Linked DNA regions of Oryzias latipes. The protein of the gene in region 3 interacts with the protein of the main gene of each other region in a biochemical or structural test. Links are inferred from orthologs where the notes say so. Each region holds a gene or a part of one and is shown on either strand. Other genes may lie near its edges. The genes, in order: arih1, fbxw7, ccne1 and skp2.

Evidence for each region.
Region 1: of the proteins of ccne1 (region 3) and arih1, one has a biochemical effect on the other in vitro, tested with the Homo sapiens proteins (3 studies listed by BioGRID). The link is inferred for Oryzias latipes from reciprocal best matches to the Homo sapiens genes CCNE1 and ARIH1.
Region 2: of the proteins of ccne1 (region 3) and fbxw7, one has a biochemical effect on the other in vitro, tested with the Homo sapiens proteins (18 studies listed by BioGRID and IntAct, with this or other methods). The link is inferred for Oryzias latipes from reciprocal best matches to the Homo sapiens genes CCNE1 and FBXW7.
Region 4: the proteins of ccne1 (region 3) and skp2 form a complex in vitro, tested with the Homo sapiens proteins (2 studies listed by BioGRID, with this or other methods). The link is inferred for Oryzias latipes from reciprocal best matches to the Homo sapiens genes CCNE1 and SKP2.

Annotation. Positions count from the first base shown.
Region 1 is NC_019864.2:16,685,489-16,692,964, forward strand, and holds the start of arih1 (E3 ubiquitin-protein ligase ARIH1), read right to left. Parts: upstream 4,406-7,476; 5' UTR 4,216-4,405; coding exon 3,934-4,215; intron 349-3,933; coding exon 281-348; intron 1-280. Other genes in the region: beta-hexosaminidase subunit alpha, read left to right, coding at 4,835-5,105, 5,560-5,664, 5,767-5,832, 5,979-6,025, 6,146-6,256, 6,343-6,444, 6,667-6,799. UniProt on the Homo sapiens protein: E3 ubiquitin-protein ligase, which catalyzes ubiquitination of target proteins together with ubiquitin-conjugating enzyme E2 UBE2L3.
Region 2 is NC_019859.2:19,476,135-19,483,491, forward strand, and holds the start of fbxw7 (F-box/WD repeat-containing protein 7), read right to left. Parts: upstream 4,735-7,357; 5' UTR 4,267-4,734; intron 1-4,266. UniProt on the Homo sapiens protein: Substrate recognition component of a SCF (SKP1-CUL1-F-box protein) E3 ubiquitin-protein ligase complex which mediates the ubiquitination and subsequent proteasomal degradation of target proteins.
Region 3 is NC_019861.2:36,307,200-36,314,842, forward strand, and holds the start of ccne1 (G1/S-specific cyclin-E1), read right to left. Parts: upstream 4,025-7,643; 5' UTR 3,917-4,024; intron 3,600-3,916; 5' UTR 3,564-3,599; coding exon 3,550-3,563; intron 3,337-3,549; coding exon 3,258-3,336; intron 1,954-3,257; coding exon 1,888-1,953; intron 1,712-1,887; coding exon 1,566-1,711; intron 1,492-1,565; coding exon 1,356-1,491; intron 1-1,355. Other genes in the region: uncharacterized protein F13E9.13, mitochondrial, read left to right, coding at 5,167-5,239, 5,534-5,616, 5,688-5,868, 5,951-6,101, 6,782-6,909. UniProt on the Homo sapiens protein: Essential for the control of the cell cycle at the G1/S (start) transition.
Region 4 is NC_019870.2:24,273,352-24,280,866, reverse strand, and holds the start of skp2 (S-phase kinase-associated protein 2), read left to right. Parts: upstream 1-2,564; 5' UTR 2,565-2,670; coding exon 2,671-2,684; intron 2,685-3,305; coding exon 3,306-3,559; intron 3,560-3,635; coding exon 3,636-3,747; intron 3,748-4,485; coding exon 4,486-4,629; intron 4,630-4,924; coding exon 4,925-5,059; intron 5,060-5,192; coding exon 5,193-5,291; intron 5,292-5,419; coding exon 5,420-5,547; intron 5,548-6,173; coding exon 6,174-6,225; intron 6,226-6,614; coding exon 6,615-6,722; intron 6,723-7,154; coding exon 7,155-7,374; 3' UTR 7,375-7,515. UniProt on the Homo sapiens protein: Substrate recognition component of a SCF (SKP1-CUL1-F-box protein) E3 ubiquitin-protein ligase complex which mediates the ubiquitination and subsequent proteasomal degradation of target proteins involved in cell cycle progression, signal transduction and transcription.

The DNA.
Region 1 (7,476 bases), on a different chromosome or scaffold from region 3:
ATATTCCTATCTACTAAGTGTTTTTATAAGGGCCTGTTTGAATGAAATAAGAGCTGATATCCTGTAGATGGAAAATGTGTTTAGATCAGTGAATGAGGGCAATTTCCTACGGGACACCTGACCATCTCCCACGGCACACTGGTTGAAAAACACTGATGTATACAATGTGTTTGAGAACAGTTTTTAGAACAATGAAACACTTCATCTTGTTTTCAGGTCACCTTTAGCTCTCCACGGCCCTGTTTTAACCTTGAACTGTAAATATTTATGAACTTCTTACCTTTCCATAAGTTTCTCTTTATCCCAGTTAAAGTGACTGAGAAGGATGCGAGTTATTGTAGCAGGGTTCTAAAAAAGCAAGAAATTACAAGTTATTTATTAAATTTGATTTCACAATAAATAGGCTTATTCAACATTTACTGTATTTCGTTCCTAATTTCAATTTCATATTTGTGTTGCTGTATAAATATACATACTGCTTTAACATCGAAACTGTTCAAATACTTGAAAACTGAGAATATTGTTTAGTGAAATTAAAAATTGGCTGTTCCTACTTCATTAAAACATACCTATGTAAATTTTCTCGTTAAACAGACTTCTGTCCCCTAATTCAAAAAATCTGCAATGATACAGGAGTCTTTTAGACTCGTGTCTCAGCAGACCAAGAAGCTTTTGACTCCTGCTACAAGGCAAAAAAGGCGCTGTGTCAATAGAATTATTTTGGTGAGAGGATGTTATATCTCCGCCTCAACAGCACAAAAGCTTTTTCCAATTCATATCAGCAGAAAAAAATAAAAGAAAGATTTTTAAAGAGTAGATTTATTCAAATATTTCACAACAACAGTTGGTGTAAACCCATTTGTAAAACAAAATAAAAAGTTTTTTAAATTTTTTTTCCTGAAGTAGAGGACTTCACAATAAGAACCAAATACTCTACTCCAAAATTCAGGAAGTAAAGGTTTGCACCGCCCCCAGGCTAACACACATATCCACTGTCTCCATGGAGCTAGCCGTTTCTGGCTAAAACGCTGTCCTTTTATCTGCACATCCATCTGTGCAGAAGTTCGGATGTTTGTTTTCGTGGGCGAGATGCAGACACGCTGCCGAGGCCGACTCCAGGTTGCCGTCATGAAATGGGCGGCGCCCACATGGAGCCAAAGCCGGAGCCTCAGAGATCGAGTTATCTGGGTAGAAAAATGAGCTGCGAAAAGAACTCATTTCATTTAAATAATGTTCTTTAGTGTGCCAAAGGTAATATATCATCATATATATGGATATAGTTTACTCTGAAAGGCATGATATGGGCCCTTTAAAAATAACCAGACCCAGTCTCTTCCTCTCCCACTGTCTTTACTAATTTGTCTGCATCGTTGGTAAAAACTGCCAATGCAAAAAAAAAAAAAATCCAACTTTTAGCTGCTTAACCTAAAATGTCTGATTGGTGCATGGCGAGAACTTTTTATAAAATATTTTTTTCCCTCAAAATTGGTCAAAATGATTTCTCAAAGCAAAATATAATTTTCTAGAACAACAAATACATCAAAACTAATGAAAAACTAAGAAAGCAAATCCACTCACGGAAGGGTCAACAAGTCCTGTTTTCCAATAGAAAAAGGCAAAGCCCCAAAACTACAAGAAACTGAATTCACTTAAATATCAGAATGTTGCATGCATCAAAAAGTGCATCAGCAAAGACAGCAACAGAGATTAAGGTTGCTGTTTAAAGGGCAAAACTGTTCTGGATTTATTTAGTGTAAGAAGACAATCAAACTCAAAGCGTTTTAAGCCAATTAGAATGTATTACGTAAATGAGAGCATCTTGTCTTAAACACAAAAAATAAATCTGTAGTTAGTGGGTGGATGTTATAAGTTTAACAAAAGCAGATATGCTAACATGTAAATAAATAGATGTTGATTGTGGAGAATTTTAAGTTTTGCGTACTGAAAGTTGGACTGTCTTAAATGATGTCAACCTCATTGATTCAACACATTAGTCGTGGGTGTGAAGCACACAAGTTCATGGCAAGAGGGAGAGGCCGTGGGGTAGGCATGACAGTCGAGTAGGGGGCTGCTTTTGCCGACAATACAAAGGTAGAAAAACTCCTCTTAGGTCCCAACAGGTAGAACTGTGCCGGCGCCCAGCTGCTGTAAAGCAACCTTTTGTTACAGGTTAACATTCTAGTTACTTTAAGAGGCACTACCCAAAACAATGTGGTGTATATCATATAGAATCATCTGCTACATCCAATGAAAATTGAAACAATCTATTTTAGAAGTTGAGCCACTGTTAAACCTCTTTTAGAGAAGGTTGACCTGGATGGAAATTGGGGCAAAATTGGCATTAAAGAAATGATTGAATTTCAACAGAAAAAGTGCAGGCAGACTCCAACTTATTTTAAAAATTTCGACCAAAATATAACGTTATGAAAAACTGAAGCAAGGCCAAAAATATAACAGTGAGAGGATCCAAACAGAGCAAACTCGTCTGTTTGAAAAATGGAAAGCCAGGTCAGAAACAACACACACGCAAATTCTGTTTGAGAATATGATTAAGTGCTCAAATCACGTTTTCTGTCTTTAATACGAGTAGCACCCAAACAGGAAATACTAAATGTAAATGATTTTATTTTTAAATAAAATACTTGCTGAAGATGGAGCAACTTCATAATTTGACTAAACATCTCAGCTGAGTGCGTTTGGTTGGACCTATTTTTCTGTTCTCTAATGAACAGCAATATCTCCTTTAATATATCTCTGATAGAAATAGTCAAAGACAGAAATCTGTTTTAGCATATGGAGAAACAAAATATATATATATATTAAACCAAGCTATGCGAGAGAAACATGCACCAAATACTGTAACACTTTTTATGCTTGTTTCTTTAACAGGTTTATTTGAAGAAAAAAATGCTGTACGTTTGCTATCAGTTTAATTGAAAAAGATCAACTTCAGGTTGAATGTAAAAAAAAATTTGAGCCTAAACCTGTATGATCAATGCAACACTGCTGTTGTCTGTCAATAGAAGACTCAGTGGTTTTGGTTCACTGCTTTATTTAGCTTACTTCCATGGGTGTTACTGGAATACAACGCCATCATAATGGATCCACGGCTGTAAACCTGTCATTTGTGTCCAACCAAACCAACTTTATGATTTGCCAAACTTAGTGTTTCCATGCTTTTGTATTGAAAGCCAAGATTAAAACAAATAAAACGACTGACTGGGGAAATGGAGGCCTAATGCCACTTGACTGAACAGCAATCCCTGCTATGTTTAAGCAACATGGTCGTGTCATTATATTCAAATGTTGTTCTGGTCAAAAGAATATACGACATTGAACAATTGTGGTAAAGGGGGTTAACACATAACTCAAGTAGCCTGATAAAAAATAAACACTTGGATGACCAAGCCTTAATTCGTTAAACTAAGCCAACATTATTGTTGATAGAGCTTATCGTAACTTATGTGCAGTCGGTTTTAAACTGAAAACAAAATTGCTTCCAACAACATACATCTCGGATCTGATGCTAAACATGCACAATTAACAGCTAATTGCGTTGTGGTTTAGCAGCTAGGTGTTAGCTTAGCTTTGAGCTTTTAGCGATAAACTAGCCAAAAAGCTAACATTAGCTTAGCAGGCGTTTCTGCCAACTTCTCTTTAGGGATTAGACTACTTCCTGGAACAAACTATTGTGAACATCTTTATTTTTGTTTGAACCTGTAACTGTCTAAACGTCTAGTTCAATGTTATGTAACCGAAATGATCTATCATAAATAAAAGAAAGTGAAGTGTTCTTTTTTGTGAACAGTCATCTTCCAGCAAGTGAACTCCTCCAGCGAGGTTAGCAGCTAAAGCTAACATCCGTGGCCTGTTGACGCTTCACACAATCGTAAACCCCGGTCTTTCCTGACTTAGGCATACCAAGATACCTACCTGGATGACCTCATTGACCTCCCTGATACACTCCACCATATGCTGGAGGATTTGCTCGGCAGTCAAAACCTCGAAGCGGTAGTCCTCCTCCTCGTCCTCGCCGGGGCCGTGGCCACCTACACCGGTCTCTCCGCTTTCGTCTCGCTCTCCGCCGGCCACCACGGGATCGACCAACTCCACATCACCGAGATCCAGGGTGTCGTCGGGCTCCTCGCCGCTGACCTCGCTACATTCGTCTTCTTCGTCGTATTCATCATAGTTAAAACCCTCGTCTGAGTCCATTCCTGGGTTGTTTAGCAGCTTGTGAGGAGCACACCCAACGGTCTGAACTCTTAGGTGTTGATTGCGGAACAATGCGAGAATCAAAATACTGGAGCCTGTTTTTCAACGGCAGCGAAAAATAACAACAAAACGTCGCCACTGCTAAGCCAACAAAGGGACGAAGCGTCAGCCACTGACGACGGCCTTACGTCAGCTGGAGCGAACAAGATGACTTTAGTTTTTACTTCCAGATATTTTAAAATAGAACAGAAAAATAAATCATATCATACGTCCGATTTTAACTTTTATTAATATATATTTAAAATATATATATTTAGCACTCGTAAAAAAAACAATACATAAACTTTTATTGCGTTGACACTATCTTTCTCCGCTCTCATCCAAACACCAATTTCCAATAGCTAGGGCTGTATGAATACATGAAATTAAAACAATTTTAATGCAGATTTTGTTTAACAACTGCCAATGATGGGGCCTAAAGGTATTGGCATAGTTTAGCTGTGCAGATACTGGTAAACAAATAATCAGAGCTCATAATACCAACACTGACCACGTGACCGCTTGCCTGTCAGGGGTGACGGACTGAGTTTGTGGGGCAGAGGAAGGGGAATTAGCTTGAATGAAAGTCATGAGGGCAGTAAATACGAAACAATGCGCCCCTATAATTTACGCTTTACTTCAGCTAATTATTTTCTACGCTGGCCTGAACGCAGTAAAGGGAGTGTGGCCGTTACCGCACGCGCTCACTTCGTCGGTGGAACAATACCCGTTAAATCCTCAAACTTTTGCCTTTGATTATGGGAAACACTCAGCCACACAGCAGGGATGTTCTCTTCTGGATGCTGCGTTCAGGAGATACTTCTTGCTTATTTTTCCAGACTACACCGCTGGTAGGTGGACTGAAGAGTTCCTGAAATGTAAAATAAGATTTTTTTTTTAATTTGTATTTAAATGTAGCCTATTTTTGTTATTGTGTATTTTATTGTTAAAATTAACTTTTAGTCACATTTAAATAGTTTTACCTATTGTCTTTTGTTTAACTCATTGTTATCAAGAGCAGATGATGTTGTAGGGCACTATATAGGTACAAAAATAGAGAACAAAGTGCTCACTAGTGTTGTTTTGTATGTACTTCTTGTCACATGGCCTTTTTAAAGTGCATCAATGGGTTTTGTAGAGACAACAGTTCACTTGTCTGTCACTATGACTATCTGTGAAACATTTAACAATAAACATCTCCAGCCCCATGTTTTGATTGAGAAAAAATTACTTTCTAAATGTGGTGTTTTGTACTTCTGTAAAAGTTGAAGAAACTGCATCATTAAACTAGCGTTTAACCAACAGAAAATGGTCAACTGGAAGTAGCTGCAAATAACTCATTCAGTCTCTATATCAGCACTGATCACAATGACTGTGAGAATTACCCCAATGACGACTCATCTGAGAGATGTAAGTATGGAGTTTCACATAAAAAAACCACCAACGTTTATAATTTATAACAAGAGATTATGAAAACAGCTTCAAAAATGTATTGTTCTGTTGGTTTTCCAGACAATCTGAGTGTCTCTGCTGGACAAGCATCCCTGAATGCAGCAACAGTTTGGGGTATTTTAAGAGGTGATCTCTACATTTTGCATAGAGAACTGTCATAAGAGGAAATACATATTTATAATAGTCCAGTAAATGAAGAACTTTCGTTGTTACTCATCTACTACTTACAAATCTGTATTTAAATAGGTACATGTGTGTTTGTTTAAACACAGGTCTGGAAACGTTTAGTCAGTTGGTGTATCAAGATGATCTTGGCTCTGTAAGTCTTTTTTCCAAGTTTAGAAAGTTTTTGTGTTTGAACAGTAACTGCACAGTCTCTCTAAAAAGACCTGTTTTCATTTTGGTTTTGCTTTTCCTCTCCTTTTTTTTTCTTTTTCAGTATTTTGTGAATGAAACGTTCATCGAAGACTTCCCCCGGTTTCAGTTTCGGGGGGTTTTACTGGACACTTCACGCCATTATTTACCAGTGCATGCCATTTTAAAAACTCTGGTAATAATTTAAATATAATTTATACTGCAAGCTTCAACTTTAAGTCCCATCAGTTTTTAATATTGCACTTTTTTTGTTTTTGCTAGGATGCTATGTCTTACAGTAAGTTCAATGTTTTCCATTGGCACATCGTTGATGACCCATCTTTCCCATATCAGAGCCGCTCCTTTCCTGAACTTTCTAAGAAGGTGCGGTACACAGATAAGAAAAGCTGCTAAGTTCAAACAAAATAAAGCCTAAGTGCTCCTAATTCCGTACTTGGATTATAGTTTTAACTTGAAAATTGATTTTATTTTGCATTTCAGAGGTGCCTTTCTTTTCTGACATAGAATTGTTGGCCAAGCATTTGTTTAAATATGAGTGCTGGAAATCAGCGTCCGCCTTTACCATAAGCCTCTGTCCTGATTTAGGGGGCTTTCCATCCAGCAACACACATCTACACACAATCAGACGTGAGGAGAGTGATCTCATATGCCAGGATGCGGGGCATAAGAGTCCTTCCAGAGTTTGATTCACCGGGACACACGGGATCTTGGGGAAAAGGTAACACGTCACTCCATGGAAAAAGAATTGGATTCATCCAGATGATCTCAGAATTTTGATACTCTGATGAATAAATCTGATAAGGCCTAGTTTGACTCAGCAAGAATACATTTCTTCTACATTTCCTACCAGAATTGTGAAAGGGCAAATGACACAAATGAGGCTGACTCATTTTCATAATCTGAATACTCAAGAAATGCTGGTAGAAACATTACAAATACTAGAATATTTCTACATTTGGTTTGAATGCTTTTCATGCAACGTACAAGTTAAAGACCCACTCCAATGGAAATTGTGTTTTTGATGTTCTAACATGTTCTTTAGTATTTTTTTCATGATGGAGGATACATTTAAAAGAATTTAAGATTAAAAATGCATTTCTGAGCATTTCTTTATTCAAATTGTGATGGATTAGGAGCAGCTGTTTGAAAAAGCTCTAAAATGTGACGCACACAGCATCTGAAATGGGCGGGGCATAGTCTCACTGCTTTGCTCCATTCTGATGCAACCACCTGTAAACAAATAGATGCATTAATGTCTTCATTTTCCTCGCCCAAGTTGGCTTTTGGCTCAGAACTGTACGGCTGGATAGCTCCAATATTGCTTGCTATTTTTTGTTGCACTGGTAATGTTAGCTTTGGATTGTGAGGGGCCGTAAGGTAGAGGGAGAGAATGTA
Region 2 (7,357 bases), on a different chromosome or scaffold from region 3:
AAAACCTTTTTTTATAGCTGCTGAGTAACACCTCAACAGGCAGCCTTTGACAAACAGCACTTTGGCAATGAAAAAACAAAATGCTCTTCATAAACAGCATAGTATTTTCACATACATTTGTTGATTTTATTTGGAACTGTGGCACAGTTAAACCGGCTGTCTCTTTTTTCTACTAAGAAAGCTCCTCTTCTTCTTGTACTGTCACAGTTTGGACCACAACAAAGCAATATGACTAGGAGATTTTTTTTTCCTGTTGATTAAGCAGCGAAGAGCAACATGGCACAGCTCTGAATTATTAAGAGGTTGTTGTGCCTCACAGATGTGAAGCAGAGTGTCTTTCACAACAGCGGAGGAATCCCACATTCTTATAAGAAATCTCCGGTAGTCTCATTGTGCATTCAAAGCGGCACAGAAACGGTAATCAAATGACTGACCAAAAAGCATTACTCTGCAAAGGCCCGCTACATAAGAAGAGTGCTTGTTTCTAATGTGGTGTGAGAGTAAGACATAGCTACTGAGGTAAAATAAAATGATTTAAAGCACGGGGAACTGCATAGTTAGTTGACACAAAAATATATTTTTTTTCCTAATACAATATTTGGATGATAAACAGCTATGTATATCAATATTGACTTGTTGAGACTTTCAAGAAACTAGTTTTTGAAGCCCCACCCATTTTTCTGTTTCATTCCATTGACTGTATATGAGAACTGGACCGATTTTTGTGCGATACAAAGGAAGTCATTTGGAGGGTCAGGCAACGTTAGTACACAACGATTGGTCCGAGTCAGAGTTTGAATCAAAGTTTCTATGAGAACTGCTGTCGCCAATCATTAGCAAACTTATTGGAAGTCCACGCCCCTTTCCAGTGAAAGCTGGCTCAGGAAAATCTGTCAACCTTTTCGAACGTTCGAGGTGGGGGCCAGCGGGCAGCACATGGCATTATTTAGGCATCTGATTGGCCAATTTATAACTTGAAGAACTTGAAACAAATAACTAATGTTAATGGGGGGGGGGGGGGGGGGGGGGGGGATTTTGGGATTAGCAAGACCATCTTCAGAAAAAGGTAGCAGAGCAAGAGTGGGTATTCTGACAAATATAATGAAAAAGTAATAGCTGTTTATTTCTCAATAGACAGTTATGGGATTTGGCTTTTTAGAGCCAGCGTTTTTTTCTGTTTGGAACACAAGGAGGAAAGGTACACTCAATCCAGTTCTCTTATACAATCAATGGTTTTATATTTTATTTTTCTGTGGCAGCGGATCTGGAAAACTAGTTTTGGGTCTCCAGACAAACACAAAGATTTATAAGTTAGTACCTCACGAAACTTAATCAGACAGATTGGGTTCAAAATTGGGATTTAAATGTGGCTAAAGCTTTTCCCAATTTCAAAGGAAACTTTCTCTTCCTCATCCTATTGCCTTAAAGAATCCTATTGTTTTCATTCATGCACTCTGGGCTGTAGGAGCAGCATAAAATGTTTAGATTGTTCATATTAAATATTGATTTGATATCAGAACATTTTCTGCCTGAAGCTGCCTTTTTTGTACAAAGTCTTAATTAAAGAAATAATGTTTTTCAATTGTGTTACTCAAGAATTTGGTTGACAACGAGGAAATCCTGTAAGTTTACCTGCAGCCTCATAGGTGTTGCATGAATAAGGGAAGGGACAGTTTGTGTTCACAACATAAGCTGTGGGATCATCAGAAAGAATACACAAACTGACAACACATTAGGTGTAGGAGGCAATATTGTTTTCACCTAGTTTTCATGTGAAAACAATAGTGTTATACAATAGATATTACGAGGTATCGCCCAGCTCTGTTATTGATTCATGTGTTTTGTCCCTTTTTCAAATCATAACCAGTGCCTCAAACATGTTAAGAAGAGGAACAAGCAAATACGTTAAGAGAAATTTAACTGTTCATCAGGTAAATAGTTTCAAAGAAATAAATCAATATTGAGATCATTGGTTCTACTAAATATAAACCAGCTGTCAACATTTCAAAAGTTGACACAAAAATAAATACAGAATGTCACAAAAAGACGGACGTCATGTGCTAACCTATTGCTCTTTAAAAAGTAAAAAAATTTATTAGTTGTTCCAACAAAAGAAAAACAGTATTTCTTAATCAGTGCTTCGTTTACTATAAAAAAATTGCTCCAAATAATAATCAAATTGAACAAATAATGATACCAGTCATGGTCATGACCATGACCTATATATTAATATGCATGTCAAATAAAATTACTGCAGAAAAACAATTGTTTTGTACTGTCCAACATCTAAAATTTATAACTAGAAAGTTGGTTTAATATGAAAAAGGCGGAATGTTTTAGAAGGCCTTCAACTTTTACTCCAAATTTTATTAAAGTAGATCAAAAGTAACAAAAATACTAACAATAATAAAATAACAAAACAATTAACTGCTGAACTTTGTGTTTTGGGCATTCACTTTTTTATCTGAAGCAATTCACACAAAACATCCTTGGACAAAAATTCATCTTTAAGAAACAAATAAGTAAGGACACAAGAAAAGTAAAGGAACGTTTTGTGTTGTTTTATGAGCCTCTTTCACACAACTTGAGCATTAAATCGCTTTGCTCTGTGACTTACAGCATCACAGAAGGACGTACTTTTTCTTATCACCTTCATGCATTGTGTGAATGCATGAGAATAGGTCAAATGCAGCACTAAGTGGGACAGTAACGACACTTTCAGTGAATACACCTTCCAGAGTGTAAGTACACAACAAATTAGAGCTATAACACCCACTTGACCTGTGACTTGCTGAAGAGGAACGGCGCTCCTTTGGGAAGCATGTTTTTTTTTCTTTGCCAACATAGCATGACCATCGTGAGAAAGCATCTTGTATTTACATTAGCATTTCAGGAGTATAATTGACGCGTCAAATTTAGCTGCAGTGTTCAAAAACTGATAAAATAACTGCCTTTAATGAGAAGTTTTATCAAAAACAAACATACTTTGATTTACCAGACAACATTGTGTTGCTTAAATGTAGACAAATGTTATTCTGTATTTTATGAGAACTCTGTCTAGGCTTTACACACCAAGACAAATCATCAATGAACCCTGCAAGTAAAATTTTCACAAAAAGCCTACCTTAGTATTCTTAATAGAGCACAAAAAGTGCCATTGGATAGCAAAGAACAGAATTGATCGCTACATTTTTCTTTGCAGATGAATTTTGAATGCAAAAAGCATGACAGGGATTTATTTGACAATGCTATGTTATAATTTAATCCGTCAAGACTCCTTTGAACTACATCTAACTTAATTTATCAATTAATCATGTAGAAGATGCTTATTATCCAGTTAGGTCTTTAAGAACTTAAATCAATAATCTGTTGGTTTCAAGTTTATCTACAATTCTTTCCTACAAGTTGTTCTCCTTCAGATAATCTGTACTGAACTTTAAAACAAAAAATGGATGTTTAAACGTCCTTGCATTTCAAATCTTAAGAACTTAGTCTAGTTAGTTAGTAAGAAACTAACAACAACAAGTTATTACTGTGCAAACGTGTTTCATCTGTTTGTTATGTTTGTGAGTTTTTACTCAATTAGTATGAACAGTGACTTCGTAATTAGTATTTCCCTGCACTATGCAGGCTTGTTCGTCGTAAATTTTGTGTTTTGATCCTGCTTATTAATGACTACACAAGTTAAAATCCATTAATAATTCTAAATATTAAGGTTTAACACAGGCATCACTAACTAATGCATGTGTTCTGAGATGAGTTTTCAATTTTGGTTGAAACCATGATAAAATAGGTTATTTCCTAATTATCCAGACTTGTATGAATTAATCTAACATCTCTACGATAGAATGTGTGAATAAAAAAGTTTGTTTTAATGACAAAAAAGGTGGAAAGCTGTCGAGTACACGCGGTTCGCCATGGTAACACGGTGCGTTTGGCACTTTTTGTTTGCAGGGTAAAGTGCCGTTTAGGGGAAGCTCATAATTTAGCAAGAAAAATAAACTCAAACATCACAAACTGAACCATATTCTCTAGTAGGTCACTTAAACTTCTTGATCGCCTGCTTAACTGGTTTGTCATTTTCAGTTTCGTCCAAAACAAGCTACACTTAGCAGTAGCGTTAAGTTGGCTAGCATTAGCGATGCTAACAGACTGCACGCAAGTAAATTGCTAGCTCTGTGTACCCAGTCAATGCGAGGCCCCTGCCCAGTGGTCCAACTATTAGAGCACAACACACTTGTTATCCTGCTTTTGAGCTGTATTTACCTGAAAACTGGTGACATAGGCGGGACAGGACTCTTTTGTCAACCCCCAGTGGCCAGGAATCCAAGCGGATATATCCTTTAAAGTTTTCTGAAGTAAACCTCAGAGGTAGAAGCTCCTCAGTCGTCTCTCAGCTCCCAGCAGCAGTTAGTTCGCACCTAACTAAACGAAGCTAACAAGTTAGCATTTGCAGCTAACTAGCCTCCACATCCCCAGTTCGTGTTGTTAGCTGGCTAGTAAAACACCGCTAACGTTAGCAGCTGCTTCAAACTAAGTGTCTCCATCGAACCATTGGCTCGTTTTTTCCACTGAGCAAAAAAGGATGACGTCCGATGATTATATGAGGAAAAGCACACCCGGAGAGACCAAGCTGTTGGTTAGCTTTTAACAATAATCCGTTCTAAAGCTCCTATACAAGCGCCAGGGATGCTGCTGAACTCCCTGCTCTCTATACCGACTGGACACACTGTCGCAAATAAATGACGTCACTTTTTTTTTTTTTTATTCTGTGCGCTTTCAAATGACGTTTTCAGTATGGTCATGAATGAAAAGTATTCCTGTTTTACTATAGGAATTTTTTTTTAATTTTCATGCTGTTCAACAATTTATGATGTTTATGTTTTTAAATATCAATCACCAACAGGTAAAAATATACATAGAATTACTTTAAATTGGATTATTTAAGTAAAAATACACATAAATGCAGTATTTCTGAAATCTAGGTACAGTAACAACACGTTTGGAGCATATATTTAACTATTCATAACCTTTACACCTGTTGTGCCTGCTGAACTTTTGTTTTTCTTTTTTGGACCAGAACGTTTTCCATCTTAATCTTTTATTTTGTATACTAAAACTGTTATGACAAATTTTATTCAAAGAAGCCTTAAACAAAGTGGTAGTAATAATGCTTTTATTATTATTATCATTATTGTCATTATTATTATTATTATTATTATTATTATAAGTAGTAGCAGTAACAACAATGTTTTCTTTTTGTACTGGGATTTTTTATATCATTTTACAAAGTAATTCTACACCTGCAAACACAAATGTTTGATATATTTTTATACTTGAAAATAAAGAACAGTATAGGACAACTAAATACAAAGTTACAAGGTTTATCAAGATTGTACAAGCTGCAATCAAATCATTGTAGTTCATTAACTCTAGTTTCCATTGTGGATTAGTGTGCAGCTCAAGTTAAACTTGCATTGTCAGCGATGGTTAGTTTTGGCTCAAGGTCATTATTATGCCCCGTTTCTGGATCCTCCAGGGAGAGTCTGAAACCCTGAGATATCACGAAGCTCTGAATGTGATCCTGGGAAGCTTGAAGTTCTGTGATACTGTGAGATTGGCATTGAGTCAGTTATTTAGCTAAATAAAAAACACTCTAGAAACAAAGGATATCTTTTCATATTATACTTCAGGAAAAAAAAAAACTACAGAAAAAAAGTTTCTGTACTTTTAAGTACATGCAAACATTACAAGTACAGTTCGTGTGATTTTGTCCAACTGTTCTGATTGTTTCTCAGCTAACTTAACTTATTCTCATCAAACAGTTTGCTAACTTTTGCTTTGTGTAATTTTTTTTGCCTGATTTAGTTTTCCACCCTAGCTCAAAACATTCATTTGTTTGATTGCTCTGATCAGACACTAACTTTGAAAAACCTCCGTAAACGTTTTTTTTATTAACTTATCCACAAACAGGATCAAATCAAATAGACTCCAAAATATTCTACTACTCTACTCTTTTTTTGTATTTCTGCTGCTCCCTTTAAGGCTAATTCTGCATCCATTAAACCATTTCCTCAGTATGCTCCTTACTCACATCATCCAGTCTCCTGTCTCTCTTCACCGCATCGATGAACCTCCTCTTTGGTCTTCTTCTCGGCCTCTTTCCTGGTTGCTCCCATCTAAGCATCCTTTCACCAACATAATCATTTGTCCTTCCTCTCAAAGTGTCCAAACCATCTCAATCTTACACATTTGCTTCACACATTTTATCTCAATTTTGATATATGTTTAAATACATTAAATTAGTTAGTCAGATTTACTTATTTTAACTAGAAATCATCATTATCTTTGATTGTTACGGTTGCACCTTGTCAGGAAGAAATTTGATTCAAAAGCTTGCATTGTTCAGCTCGGGAATTCTGAACTTTCTCAAAAGAAAATCATATTGACAAGCTGTGGTGCTCATAAATGTGTAAAAGCAACAGTTTGTAGGCCTGTAAAATGTTTGATTGTCTTCATAAAGTTTAAAACTAAATTGAATTTATGTGGATGTAAAAAACTGTTTTTTTACATAGTTTTCTCACACTTAGTCACAATAGTGGAGAGTGCTGCCAAAAGTCTGACATATCTGTTTAAAAACCAGTCTATTTGGCATATCAACACAAAAGAACACAGATTTATTGGTCTGTGCAGAGTTGCTGTTTGGAAATCTAAAGGGGAAGCTAATAAAAAAAGGGGAAAGTATTGCCAAAGCATTATTTCTTATTTGTATTGTCTGGAGTGTTTCACCTCCATGTCCTTTCCTGTGAGTCAAATCATCTGACCACAAATGAACATCAGATGTTCAGATCTCACAGACAAAATATTAGACTGTGAATTTATCAATTTAGACAAAGCTGAAACTACTGATCAATTACAGAAGCAAATGATGCATCACACTTTTAGTTTCAAGTTTTATAACTGACTTTTTTTTAGAAGTCTAACATTTTTTTCTTGTTAGAAAAAAATCCGCCTGACGCCAAGAGATTTCTGAGATAGATACAACAGAAAACAATGGCCTGTAAATAAAAAAAAATAAAAAGTTATCATATTAGACATGACGAGAGCTGTTAGGAGCACAATGTGGTCAAAGAGTTTTAGCTCAAATGAAAGGAAAGAATTTTTCCAAAACTTTGGCAAAACCAGCCATGTTGTTTGACCTATAGTGGCTCTAAAGAAAAGAACAGAAGCAGAGCTGGAGGTAGCAGAGATGAATGTGCTGGGGTTCTCTTTGGGAGTGACCAGGATGGATAGGATCAGGAACAACTACATCAGAGGGACAGCACATGATAGGGATTTTGGAGATACAGTCAGAGAG
Region 3 (7,643 bases):
GTAAAAACATTTAGCTAAATTTAAACACACTCTGTTTTCAAAGCAGACAAATGTCAAACACAAACAAGGATTAACCCGACAGAAGAAATATAAAAAAATGGAAGCTGGGCGCGGCGTTGTATGGGGGCAGGACCCGCCCCCTTTTGACCCGCCCTCACTGTCAGAGCAGCTGCTACTCGCCGCTCGCTCTCCCCCTTCATGTGATACAATTCATAGTAAAAATACATTCTTATGCTTTTCTCTTGGTTTCATCTCCATAGCAACCATTTGCTTTGGTTGCTATGGAGATGTCGGACAGGTTTGTGTGACTTTTAGTGGAATAATAAAAGGTAAAGTTGGGGAATTTCTTAGCAACGGAGGATTTTTGTTAACCACGCCCACAAACCCAATAGGTTAATTTTGTATGTCATGTCTTTTCGCTCTGCTTAAGCCAACGACTCGCGTATTAAAATTTGACCACATTCCAGTAAAAAAAAAATTTAAAAAGGGAACGCCACTTTTGCAAGCTTGCCACGCCAACGGCGTTCAAAATCTACAATCATATGACGCTTGAGCAGTTAGGAGGCAACAGACTGAAAACCTTACCAGGAACTGACATTTATTTGAAAAAAGGTACTAAAGGGGATTGTTTTATTTTAGGAAAATTCAAGATTGTCCCAAGGTCAAAAGGTCAAAATGACTTGGGTTGTGGTTGTAGACTTCACCTGGCGGTATGTGGGGGAAATATTGCAAAGATCAATTGAAAAATAACATTTCTATGTGGAAAAACACCACATTTCTCATCTTGCCACACGCTGTAGGTCGTGTAGCCATCCCATAATAATTTCAAAACCTTTGGATATCACCAACGTTTTTTTTGGGTTTCATTGGTGAAATATTCTTTTGAGCCCCATCAGAGATTTTGGTCCCATTCATTTCTAGATGGTTCCTCCCGCTGGGATTTGACCTGCAAATTTCAGCCAATCAGATCAACCAGAAAGGTTACCGCCCCCGAGCGACATACACGCCCCCTGAACACGGCTCCCAAACCCAGCGGTCGCGCCGTCAGAGCTTTACGCTCACTCAGCTCCTGAATACCGTCGTCAGTTCATCTTAGCGCACGTTCAGTTAACGGCAGCCATGAAACGCCGCCGTCACCCGTTTGTTGGTTCAAACACTAGACAGGCTTTTACTTTGAAGGTCTGCATGGTTTTTCCTGAAAATCCTGACCTTAAAACAACAACGTTCAGACGCCGCACAGCAAAACCTGCAGCAGAAATGCGGCAGAGCAGGTTTACCGTCACTCCCACGGCCGTTCAGTTTTTCAGAGAAGGGGGTAACGGCGGGAGCGTCCGACCGCCTCCGGATGCACCCACCTCCATGAGCCAGTCCAGCAGGATGGCCCTCATCCTGGGCTGCAGGTGGGGGTGCTTGTCCAGCATGCGGACGTCCCTGCAGTAGCTCTTGTCCTTGGCCAGCATGTTGCTCCACACCACGTCCTTGCTGGCCCAGCTGGAGAAGCCAGAGCGACCGTTAGCGGCGGCTCTCCGTGGCGCCGAGCCCGGGGAGGCGGGGTTTACACTCACCACAGCGCCGGCAGGGGGGCGCAGTGGACCGGGGTCACGAATATGTTGTGGAAGTTGAGGTGCAGGAAACCGGCACTCATCTGTTGGCGGCGCTCCGGCGTCCACCGATGGGGGCTGGTCCGGTCCGAGTCGGGGCTCCAGTCCACCTTGACACAGAAGAGAGGCTCAGAACAGCAGTTCAGAGGCAAACGGGACGCCGTTTCCTGGTCGTCAACCAGAGATTTTCAGCTTTCCGGCAGATCAGACTTGGATCTGAAACATCCGTACAGAAACGGCGTCAAACGGCGTCCTGGAGCCACATTTGGTGTCGAACGAGCCTCACCTCACAGTCCAGATGCTGCCTCTTCTTCGTCATCTCTGCCTCGTCTTCGTCAGGATCCTGTAGGAACTGAGACGCAAACACAACGACTGACGGCGACTTCTGAGCAGCTTTGAGACACAAAAACACAAAATCTTCATCACAGATGAAAGACACACTTCATGTCTACAGTGGAAGATGAAACTATCAAAATAAAAGCTCAAACAACTTTGATTCCAGATTATCTTCTGTTTTCCATTCATCAATTATCAATTACAGAAAGATATTTAAAAAAATATGAAATGATTAAATAGGAATCAACATATTTATTTAATTTCTTTTTTTTGGCACAAATCAGGTTGTCTTAGTAAATTTCACGACCAACACGTCTCATATTTGGAGTGTTTACGATTTTTACAGCTTTCTAGTTTTATTTTTGTAGCTTTTGTTCTCATGTTTATTCGTTTCGTCTCCACGATCTTAAAATGAGACAAACGTTCAGATAAATTAATAAAGTCCTTTTTTTTTAAAAACCAAACAAACCTTTTTATCAGTTCTTTTATTTTGAATCATGCGCCAAACTTTATGTAAATTCTAGAAGTTTGCAGAATAAACATTTTTGCAATTACACCGTTTCCATTAAATCACAATTGTACACAAAGCGACTGACGCGACACGTCATTCAAAAACACGCCAACGGGCGTGAACAAAGGGAGACGGCGGCCTCTTTTTCAGGCCGTGGAGTGGCGAGCTCCTCACATGTGGGAGGGGCTACGGAGGAAACAGATTTTGGGAAATGTGGAATTGTTGGATCCAACGAGATGCTCAACTTTTGACGAGCTGTGTGGCGCCCGCCGTGCAACAAGTCCGCCAGCTCCTACCAAGAAGCACCTCGCCATCCGGTCGTTGGTCACGTGGCTCATTTAATACAAAAAGCAGTTTTGACAAATATGTTAATTTAGACACGTCTCAAAAACTCCCCTCCTCCAAGCGCAGAAACCGTTATTTTTAATGATGAATGAAAGTTTTATCGTGTTTACATGAGACAAATTTAGCATCCAAAGCCGTTTTTATAGTCAATGGAAACTATGGGAAAAAAATGGTGTCAAGTTTGGATGCGAAGAAAACTAAAACGCAAATCTGTTTAACCGTTTTGTGGGGGTGTTTGTAGAACCTCAACCTCCTCCTGGAAATAAAAATCAATATAAGTTTAAATAATTTTAAATCACGTCTTGGAAAGAATTTCTGGCTAAATGGATCCATTTTTGTGGCCTTAAATATGGTTTGTGAGTTTTGTCATGTTTGGGCTTCCATAGCTGAAGGTTCTGCCGGACCATAAAGAGAGCAGAACCAGTCTGATGGACCAGTTCAGACCAGCTGGTCCGCTCACGTACAATGGCCACATCTGCCTTCCTCTTTCTGCTCCTCTCTGACCTCTCCGTGGGGGCGACACTCGTGGGCTCCTTCTGCTCCCTGTGGAGAAAAAACAGACGTGTCTTTGTGGTCCAGAAGCGTCCAGAACCTCCGCGCGGGCTCCCAGAGTTTAGCCCCCGAGGAGGAGGAGGCCACGGGGGTTAGTTAGCCGGACGGCTAACCGGGCTGCGCCGACGGACGGCGCCGTCAGAGCGGCTCATTCCCCCCGACATATTAAGCGCTGGAAGCGGGGTAAAAAACACAGCAACTCACCGCTGTCCTCGCATGGTCCTCGGACGCGCTGGCCCACACTCCGAGCAAACCTGCGGGGATGCCAGCGTTAGCTCCGGGCTTCCAGAAAACACCCAACCCCCACCCGAGCGGCGCCTCCTCCTGACAAAGCCCGGCGCAGAAGTGGCGGGGAAGAAGCGGGCTCTGAGGGCGCACGAGCCCGCGAGAACAAGAAGCGGCGCGTGCCCTCCCCCCAGAGGACCGCGAGCCCCCCGGAGCCCTCACAATCACTCCAGCCGCTCCGCGGGAACTTTACCTGCCAGCGGCCACGCAGAGCGGGACTTACCGAGACACCGAATACACAGTTCCCTTTCAGCGCGTAACACCCCGATGAAAAGCGAAAAGTTACCCCAAGAGACTCCTTGAAGTTCGCTCCGAGTCCCCGGGAGTCAGAGGCGGAGCTGCCCGCTCACAGAGCCTGTGCAGGCCGGGCGGGTTTCCCTGGAGCTGGCGCCTAAAACCCGAGCGTCCCTCCGGGCGGAGCCGCTTCAAACTGGCGCCAAAGCTCGGAGACTGGCGACCTTCTCCTCCATGGACCTCCTGACGGACGCGCGCGGGACTCTGAGTGGCTCTGACGGCTGCTGGCGCCTTCAGCTGCTGCTCCGCCGCCGGGAAAGAAAAATCCCGCTTTTGCAGCTGTGGGAGGGGCGTGGCCGCGGCGCTGACAGCTGCGGGGGCGTGGCCACCGGGCCGGAAGTGTGCCGGCTCCGCGTGGCCAGCCTGTCAGATGTAAACAAAGCCGCGGTCTCCCGGGAAAAACCGCCAAGAAGACTGGAAACCAGCGAAAATATGAATATTTTTGATGATTTTTGCAGATTTTTTAGATTTTCCCGCCTATTAAGCCACATAAGTGTCTCTTTTTTCCCTCCTTTACTCTGCGTCACAGAGACACGCCGAGAGAGGAAGTAACACGTTACATTTACCTTACACATTTTTGGTTAAATTGAGCTTTTAAGAGTAACTTTACTGCCCCTTACTGATTACCTTTACTTGGGTAAACAAATATTGATTAAGTTACTGTTTTGATCATTGTAACACTTAAAGATTTTGTTCCAGGAAGCAGAAGATCTTCGGGAAACAAGCGACATGTAATCTACTGAAAACTTAAGGCGGTTAAAAATAAAGGTTTTTTCCCATTTTTTACTTTTAATGCTGCAAAGAAATGGATTCATATTTTAATCCACTCATTTGGAAAATGAGTCTGAAAAGACTGTAAAAAGAAGATGTTTTTTTTCCATAATTTAATAAATAGTTTCCTAAATCCTGATTCCATGAGTTTGAGATATAAAAATATCTGTCTGGATGTATCTGTGTGTGTGCGTGAGAGAGTGTGTTTGTGTCTATGAATGCTTGTGTTTGTCAAATGTGACAAAGTTAAAGTGACTTCATGCTTTAGTAACTTTTTTCTTTCTGCAGAGACGTTTTGTTGTTTTTCTTTCTTTTTTTTGCGTCTCCCGTTGGCTGAAGGATCCTAACAGACGTGGTGGACGCGGCGTGCCGCTGACCTCTGCCCCTGACCTTTGCTCCGTCACGTGATCCGGTCCCTCGGTGGAAGCTGAACTTTAGTTCCTGCAGTTGGAGTTTCAGCCAAACCCAAACATGAAGTTCCTGGAGCTTTTCGGACGCTTGAAGTCAGTGGTTATCGGAATGATTCACGTCAAAGCGTTGCCAGGTAAAGTCTCCCGTTTCAGCAATGAAGACAGGAGTTTGAGTTTCCCACCAAACTGTCTCCACTTTTCTAAGGCGTTTTCATTCCACACTAGACAGAAATATAGATCTATTTCTCAGCAGTAACTTTCAGTTTTAACTCTTCTTTTCCAGGATGCTTCTGTTTTTTTAAATGAATTTCTAAAAATTCAAAGTAAATCAAAAGAAAAATTAGTTTCATCCCAGAAACTGGATCTCCATTCCTACTATCGGGTTGTTTGACTTGATCCGGTGTGAGGGAACGTCTCCTCTCACTCAGGTTCCCCTCTGGGACGCCTGACGATGTCCCAGATTGTGGAGGAGGCGTGCCGCGAGGCAGATGTCTACCGTGAAGCAGGGGTGGTGAGTGCGGTCTTTGCTGGTGTTCCTTCGTGGGTCTTCTCGGTCGGGATGACTGCCAGCTGCTGTTTCAGGACGGTCTGATCGTGGAGAACATGCACGATGTTCCTTACACGTTCCACGTGGGTCCTGAGGTGTGCGCCTGCATGACGGCGGTCTGTGTTGCCGTCAGGAGAGCCTGTCCGTCTCTGCCGCTCGGGGTGCAGATCCTGTCCTCTGCTAACCGGCAGGCCCTGGCCGTGGCCCTGGCGTCAGGTTTGTTGGTTCCTGGCAGAAGGCGGCGGGTTTGAAGGCGTGAAGTGTAGACGGCGACGCTTCTGCATCTGCGTGGTTCCAGGTTTGGACTTCGTCCGGGCAGAGGGCTTCGTCTTCTCCCATGTGGCGGATGAAGGCCTCCTGAACGCCTGCGCCGGCGACCTGCTGCGGTACCGCCGGCAGATTGGAGCTGAGCACGTGCAGATCTTCACCGACATCAAAAAGAAGCACAGGTGAGGGCTGTGCCGGAAGACGGCGACCTGTCCGGTGATGTCACACTCACTCGCTCCAGTTCTCAGATACAGTCAAAGACACTCTAACCTGTGCTTTCATTCAAAACGAAGCCTTGAAGGCAGTGTGACATTGGGACTGGGTCATCTAGACCCACTAGACAGTGCTCTGAACCTTTTTTCTTCAATGATTTGGGATCTTCACTGGTGTCCATGGATTACATGAAATCTTTCCACCTTTGTCATGGTAGGGAGAACACGTCAATGGAAGGGGGGGTCATCTGGACCCCACAAGACAGTATTAAAGTTAAAGAAAAACACCTGAATGAATCCTCATCAGATCATTTCATTGGAGTGTAGCATCCGAGGGGCTGAGACCTTGATTAAGTGGTTACTGTAGGCCGTGGCCAACGCAATACAGTTTACACCCGGCATGTCCAAAGTCTGGCCCATGGGCCCAACATGGCCCGAAGGCTCTTGTCATGACATCCATCATATTTGGCCCCTGGCACCATTTTCTGTACGATTACTCGATTGTGATTGGCTAAATCCCGTAAACCTGTGGCTACTTGAGCGTCAGAAGGTCCAAATACTTAACCAAATACCAAATACTCAACAGGAGGGAAAGCCCCCTCCGCCCCCCCAACCGCTCAGTCACGTGAGTGTGGACGGTGTGTTTTCAGCGCTCACGCCCTCACGTCTGACGTGACCACGGAGGACACGGCTCGAGCCGCCCAGTTCTTCCTCTCAGATGGACTCATCCTCACTGGAGCAGCTACCGGAGACCCGGCGGACCCCCGCCAGCTCAGAGGTAATAGGTGCCCCCCACACACTCAGCCTCCTGCCAATAACCCCTCCTTTTGCTCATCGTTGCTATGGTAACCACGAAAACATCCGAAAGTTGTGTTCAAATCCCCTCACTACTCTCGACTCGGTACAACATATCGGGCTGTCCCAACCCACATCTCTAAAATCCAGAGCCTGGAAATCTCCCAGAAGTCAGACAGTGTACATCAATGCTCACTAGATTGGTGAATATAGTAAACAATGCATTGCAAAAATGTACATAAATGTAATTTGAAATGAAATGCTCTTATTTATTAGGTTTTTACTTTGGTTTAAAAAAAAACAAAGTAGTGATCTGAGTCTCAAATCCATTAAAATCCGGGACACCGGATCGTCCTGGACTCTGTCGTCTGTTAGGGGTTCAGGAACAATTCAGACAAAACCCGAGAGTTTCTCATATTAAGAAATGTCCTTTATATTATCATGAGTGTGGCAAGAGTTTATTTCAACGCGGAAACTCAAACTTGTGATCTGTAAACATGTTCCACCTTCAGGCAAAGTGTGACTGTATGGCTATGATGAAGCCAAACCCCCACATTCTGATCCCAAACTTAAAACCCCCCTGAGAAAAATCAACAGTTGCACTTCCTCAAATGACCACAGGGGGCAGATCTCATTTTAAAAGGCCTGTGTCCTGCTTTTCTTCAGCCTTTCCGAAGAACTATATCCATATATACTGTATGATGATATATCACCTTT
Region 4 (7,515 bases), on a different chromosome or scaffold from region 3:
GAAATATTAATAATAAGAAATTACAAATCAAAAAATTCCGTTTTCTTTGCTCTTTTATCATTTTTTAGAGCTGGACTCCTGCATCATTTTAGCAATAATTTCTTGGTGTGTGACGTCCTGTGTGTGTCTTTATGAAACATATCAGAGGGATTGGATAAAAAAAAACTTATTGTGAATATTATTTTTAGGTCTTATAAAACATTAAAAAAACTAAATCATAGAACTCATCAGTGGGATTACTCCAAAAATATTTGGCTTTTCCCTAATTTTGTGCAACACCAACAGTAGAAATCCTCAATAAACCTCAATCCATTAGTTTATTTATGATCTCATAAAGTGCACCTGTTCTCCTGCTGTCTTTATGTCAAATACTGACACCAACTAAATGACAGAAAAGACACGTAATAAAAATATCTACAATAGTTGGTAAATAATGACATTATTAACATGAGCTGCTGAGTGATCCATCAGCATGTGATGATCCAGGTGTTAAGGTGGGCTGCGCTCCTCGCAGCCTGCGCCCACCACCCCTCCCCTTGCTTCTGACACACGTCTCTATGACAGGAGCGCGCAGCTGCGGCCTAGAGTTGATTGTTAGAGTGAAAAAGACACCAAATCACCTATGTTAGTGTGATTCACCCAGCCACCGGTGAGTTGCACCCCCCTCTCAAATTTTTTGACTTGTTAGGTTCCAAAACCTACCGCAAAGAGGTGTGGGCGCAAGTGTCTTGCAGCGGAGGGCGGCGGTCACGTGCACGTTGGGTCTGCTGTGTCGGAGCAGGGAATTGTGGGAAATAATCCCCATTGCCTGCTCTGATCGAAATTGGGTTGAGCACGGGTTTTTCTTCTGCGTAATTCCTTTTCATGTGGATGTTTTACGTTGTTTCACTCTTAGTTATTAACCATAAGTGTGGAGAGGGGAGAGGATTAACAAATAGGTGCAACGGTCTCTGTCAGACGTGTCAAAATAAAAGCGTAAAGTGTTGACTGCTGCAGGCATGTCAAAAGAAAAGCTGAAAGACTCCTCTTTGACTTAGGTATTCCCTTTTGTGTAACATTGCCGGCACAGAAAATGCTGCTCCTATGAAGTGCCTGGGCCACCGCCCACCTCGCCCATATCAAAAACCGCCACTGCGCACACGAGTGCACAACAGTACGAGCACAATTGAATAATCTAATACGAGCGCAAGGAGTACTAATCTACATTCAAAGTTAGGCCCAAAACATTCCTTTTTGGACAGGCTCATTGCCAGACAAGCTAGTAATCAGAGAATATTAAACTTACATGTTTAAATTAAACTTAACAATAACAATTAGTTTTTAGTTGGCTGCTAGAAGTTTGAAGCTGGGTAAACTATGGTGCGTTGTGGTTCTTTCCTTTATTCTTGTCATCTCCTCTCCATCTCTCCTCTATTCTTGATCCTTATTAATCATTTAGTTCTCCATGCCTCTGTTTGGTGCAGTGCGATTCATGTACTCTCCCTTTTGCTTCCAGATACCAGTTGGCTCATCCCTGCTCCTGTACCTGACCAAGTACCTCGTCTGGGGCTTGCCTCTACTACTGCTCCTACACTTGGCTGTGCATCCTGTCTCCGGCTCGTCTCGTGCCCCCATCCGCCCCCCAACTCAATCTGGATGAAACTCATCTGCTGGACTTTAAATATGTAGTTGTTGGGTTTGGTAAGCTCATCCTTCTCTAAGAGGTCTGGTACATCGCCTGTCTGTCCTGGGGGAGGATCCCTCGTTCATGTTGGCACCCCAGAGGTTTCTTCTTTTTCAAATCAGTTTTTCCTTACTGCGCAGGAGTGTCTAAGGGCAGAGATGCCTAGCTTAGTTTAGTCTGTTTAGTTAGCTCAGTTTAGTATTTTCCTATTAAATCCCATGTACTCATGAACCTTTTGATTTTATGTTTACCTTATTATTACCTGTACGAAGCCCATTGAGATGACTGTTGTTGTGATTTTGGGCTATACAAATAAAATTGAATTGAATTAAATTAATCCGTGCGCACGGTTTATCAGATTTTAATTCTTTTTTAATCCCTGGCACCTGGAGGGCTCCGTATCCCTACGACCCCGTGAATATTTACAGTTTGTTAACAGGGATAATTTCGTATTCAAGACAAGCAAGAGTTGCATTCAAAACAAAGACTAATCCTGTTCAAAACAGACACGTCAAATTATATGTGGTATTCATATTTTTTTATTTGAAGTTGTGCACAAAGTATTAGTTTTGTATTTATACACGTGTTTTGTATTGACAGTTATCTTACCCAATACTCGCCCATCTTGTTTTCTACTTCACAAATAAAACATTTTCTGAACAGCATATTTTTCTCTGTTCATTAATCACAAAGATGTGAATAAAGAAATACTCAGAAGTACAATTTTTAGCCTAATTTAAAATAAAAATATCCTCCATCAGAATTTATTTTTTAATTTTTTATCGAAATGAGGTCATTAAAAGGTTTTCTTATGTGGCTAGAGAGTAGAAAAAACGAATTAAACTTGAATGCCACATCGTCCGCAAAAAACGTAGGACGTGACGTGACAGACGTCTGGAACGTCATGACGTCAGTTGAAAGAGGGCGCCTCGCTGCTGGCGGCGAGTTTAAAGAGTCCCGACTGGAAAGAGCGGCATCCATCCCCGCAGTTTAAGGCGCCAGAGAAGATGTCCAGCGACAGGTACGGACTTCACAGCTGCTACGTTTAGCTAAGAGACTGCTTCGCTATCAAACACATTTACAATCCTTTCTGTTATTTAGACTTTTGAAATGTTTTCGCGCGTGCATCTCCCATCACCGTTGACATACTAGCCTAGGTCGCTCAGATCGCTCGTGTTAATCATCTTTCGGCATTTCTCGGATGCTGATCGCGGTTGTTTTTGTGGAGAAATCTGCTAACATCATGTTGTTGTTTAGTGAGTCGCTGATCCAAAGAGATCTGCCTGAAAACTCAAGCTGATGACCGATACCGCGCTTTTCTCCACGCAGGCCTCCACTCTTTTCATGATTAACTTTATTCATTGGGGTCATCTGTGGCTGAAATTCCATTTTCCATTTCAAACCCCCAGCAGTGCTGCATCTGTGCATTTTGGAAGATAAATGACGGCGCGTTTGTTTGAAAATTTGCGCGGTCCCGTCGCTTGTTGTTGTGTCCACGTCAAATATGGCGGGCGCGCACAGATCCCCGTCTTGAAGGAGCTGGTGAATCTGTTCCTGCAGGTTTTCTGGTTCAGATCCACGCAGCACTGACTCATCCGAAGGCTCGAACTCTATCGTTTCCAACTGTCTCTTCTCCATCCAGCATGCCCTTGCGGGATCTGCCACGCGCGGGCCTCCAAAGCCACGCGCTGTCTCAGTCCGCCAGGCTGCACAACAAGCGCAAGTCCAGAGGCCACCTGAGCCAAGGCCTGGACACCGAGTGCACCCCAACAGAGCTCATCCAGCAGTGGTCCCCCCCACAGAAGCACCAGAGAACCGCCTGCAAGGGCAAGGAGAACGACCAGCACACGTTTGTCCTCGCCAGGAGACCCAGGAGAAAGAAAGACTTCAGAGGAGGTGATCAGGCTGCTGCTCAGAGGGCTGCAGGGCTGGGATGTCAGCTGTCTCACTCTGTTCTCCTTCAATCCTACAGGCATTTCATGGGATCATCTGCCAGACGAGCTGCTGCTCAGGATCTACTTCTACCTTCCTCTTCAGGACCTCCTTCGAGTCTCTTTAGTCTGTAAACGCTGGCATCGTTTGGCGTGAGTCTCTGTCACTGAATGTCACACAAATATGCAGTCCAGTTTCATTTTCTATTTTAGCCCCAGTTTCAACATGCAGATTTATTTGGTTTTTCAGAATTTTCACTCTTTTTTTTAAATTACCCACTCTGATGAAAATGCCGTTTTTGACATGTTCTCGAGCCATTTTTCAGATGACGGAGGACATGAATGAAGAAAATCAAGCTTAAAAATGCATTTCTGAGTATTTCTTTAGTCAAACTGTTGTAAATAAGGAGCAGACAAAAAAATGCAGTTGGAAAAAGATCGTATTTGTGACGCACTGCAGGCGAGCCAGAAGCTCCCTGTTCCGCTCCATTCTTGATGCATTCGAATGGATCCATGTACGTCTTTCTGTTCTTTGTCCGAGCGAGCCGGCATCTGCCTCAAAACTGTATGGCTCGATAGCTTTAGTGTTGCTCGGCGCCAACAGTCCCGCCCACAATTCAGAGGTGAATTTCGAATGAACTCCTGCTGTCCTTTTGTTTTGCCTAAAAGCAGCATAATCCTGATCAAAGACCCCTCAGGATGCTTAGAAAATAGATCGGAGTGGGTTTTTAACTTAAAATAGGTTTTGAGATTCTGATGAACATGAAAGACTTCAGTACTACAGATGTTCAGTCTGCCACACAGTTTTCATTAGCTTCAACCCCAGAAGCGCCTCTTTGTGTGTGATGATTGTTTGCCGGTGTGAGAGCACTCTGCTTGTGTTTTCATCAGGTTTGACGAGTCTCTGTGGCAGAGCGTGGATCTGCAGGGTCTGACCAACATGGGTCCAGCTCTGCAGCAGGTGCTGAGGACCGGAGTCCGCCGCCTGCGCTGCCCGCGCGCCTTCGTCGAGGAGCAGCAGTTTGCAGGAACAGAGTGAGCTTTGCAGATGGTTGGACCTAGGCCTGCACAATAAATGGCAAATTTATTGCTTGCTATTATCATCGCAACATGGATCACTGATACTGCAAATTGCACGTTTTCCTCATATCATGCAGCCCCAGTTGGACCACAACCATCTGGTCCAGTTTTTTTTTTTTTTTTTGCAGACCTGTTTTCCAAGCACTATCCTCACTTTTTAGATGCTCAAGCTGAGCGATTAGACACGAAGACACACCAGTGAGCCACAGACGCCTTCCTTCACTGCAGGACCTTTTCTCTTTTTGTCCAGACCTCTGCAGCTGCTGGACATGGACCTGTCCAGTTCCATCATCCCCATTTCAGCTCTTGAGAGCATCACCTGCCGCTGTCTCCGCCTGGAGCGATTGAGCCTGGAGGGTCTGCAGCTCTCAGACAACATCATCAGGTGAACAAATGGTTGTAGTTTGGTTTATATCCACCATGCTTCAGAGTCGAGCTTCTCTTCAAGGCCTCCGGGTGCTACTTTGCCGTTCACGGTTGGTTTGGTCATCAGACTCATGTCAAACTCTTTGTTGCAGGAGTCTTGGGAACAACGTCGGCCTGCAGCAGCTGAACCTGAGCGGCTGCTCCGGCTTCTCTGCTTCTGTTCTGGCTGACATGCTCAAGTCCTGCTGCAGGTCAGTGAACGCCTCTAAAAAAACGCACAAAACTTAAAAATAAAGTAAACTAATTCATGTATGTGATGAGTTGATTTTGCATGCTATATTAGTGTTGTCATTGTGTCCTCGTGGGTTTTGTTTTGCAGGATAGAGCAGCTAAACATTTCATGGTGCGGCTTCAACAAGGACCACGTGAAAAGTGTTGTTAGTAATGTCAGCCCCAGAGTCGTCAGCCTGAACATCAGCGGGTACAGAGAGAGCCTCACGTTAGACGGTAAGCCGTGGAAACCTGATTCCATAGGAAGGGGACTCCTCCATCAGTTCTACATCAGAAGTGCCTTCGAGGAGAAATTCGACTGACGGTTGATCACACTGGTTTTTACAACAGCAAAGCTGTTTGAGGCTTTGTTTGCTTAACCAACCAATCCAGAGGATGGAAACAGAAATCAGACAACACAAGCTGTTATAGCTTAGTCACAACTGCCCTCACGGGTCTATATGGAGCATGTGGGGGGGCCCGCACATAACGTCAAGGTTGTAGATCACCCAGTGAGCCCATAGCCCATCTTCAAATCCTCCAGTCTGCACATAAAGCCTGTTAGTGCTGTTCAAATGATTAATGCTGTTATAGTTTAGTGTTTTCCTTTTTAATCGGATCTGATTTCCACAAAGTCTGTAATCAGGACCCCTGTTAGTAAAGTTCTTTCTTTATTTTTACATTTAAACTCAAGGTGATAATGCATACAGGGGGAAATGGAAGTGTGACCAAACTCTATGCATTACATTTTTTTAGTTTTATTTTCAATTTTCTTTTCCTGCAATGCCAAGTGTGATAGTTTCTGGGAATAATCATGAAATCTTTTTGCTGTCACTGATGGGAATGGCGTGCGTGTTTTACAGATGTAAAGATCCTGGTTGACAGATGTCCTGAAGTTCAACACCTGGATTTGAGGTACCGTCCCGCTCCAGCCCAGAGAAACAGAAACACCAGATGCGTTCATTCAGAACTGCTCTTCATTAAAGTCCCACTCCGATCATCTATTGTAAAAGGGTTCCCAGTTGTCTTTTAAGTACGCTTATGCTGTTTTTAGCAACAATCAAAAGCCTGTGTGGTTCTCTAGGACACAGAGCAGTTATATAGAAATCCACCTCTGAGTTGTGGATGGATTTGTTGGTGCTTAATTATCTTTATATATCTCCATCATGAGAAAAATCCCACAAAAACATTTTAAAAACACAGTTTTTAATTGGAGTGGGTCTTTAAGTAAAGGGTTCTCCTCAGATGAACTGGATTCCTAAGTTCTGTCTCTATCAGAATTTCACTAAGTCTTTGTGTTTCAGTGACAGCACCCTGCTGATGGCTGACAGCTTCCTGGTTCTCAAACAGCTGAAGGATCTGCAGCACCTGTCCCTGAGTCGCTGCTATCACATTCACCTGGCTGCTCTCACGTAAGTCCTCACCTGGAGCTGCAGGGTGGATCTTCAGCGTCCTCCGTCCTAATGAATCATTGCAATGAGAGAGGATTGGACCACAATGGACCATGCTCATTAAACATGAACCAGGATATTCAGTTGGTCCTTCTTTTCAGTCACCTGTAGGTGGTAAAATTAAGTCTTTTTTAAAATTTGATTGGGATTAAATGTAATCGTCACAGTAAGCCGTAAGGCTGTAGCTTTGTCTCTTTACAGTTCAGTAACCCCTGACTCATCATTCTTTAGATGCATATAGGATCATGTGCTCTGTTCTTTGTTTAAATATAAGCTCTTTGCAGAAAAAGGGTGGAAATGTGTAAATGCTGATTGTTGGCTGAAAAGTGAAAATCTGGTTGGTTTGAACAAATTGAAGTTCTGCAGACTCAACTTTCTGTGTTCTTCCTGCAGGGATCTGGGACAGACGCTGCCCTCTCTGCGCCTGCTGGACGTCTTCGGCCTCGTGCAGGACAACCAGCTGCCGTCTCTGAAGAAGGAGATGCCTCACGTCAGCATCAACTCCATGCCTTTCTCTAGTGTGGCTCGCCCTACGCCCGCCAGCAAACTCCCGGGGTCCCACGGCGACCGCAGCATGTGGAACAGGAAGTGCCGCCTCAGCTTCCAGCTCTGACCGCGGACTCAGTCCTGTTTTGTTTTTTTAAAGGGACAGTTTGAGCTGCAGAGCAGGATCTACATGTCAGTTCTAGACGAGGCTTTAATCTCTCTGGTACCAATGACCCATCAGTCCTCGATGCTATGTTGGCAAACTCAA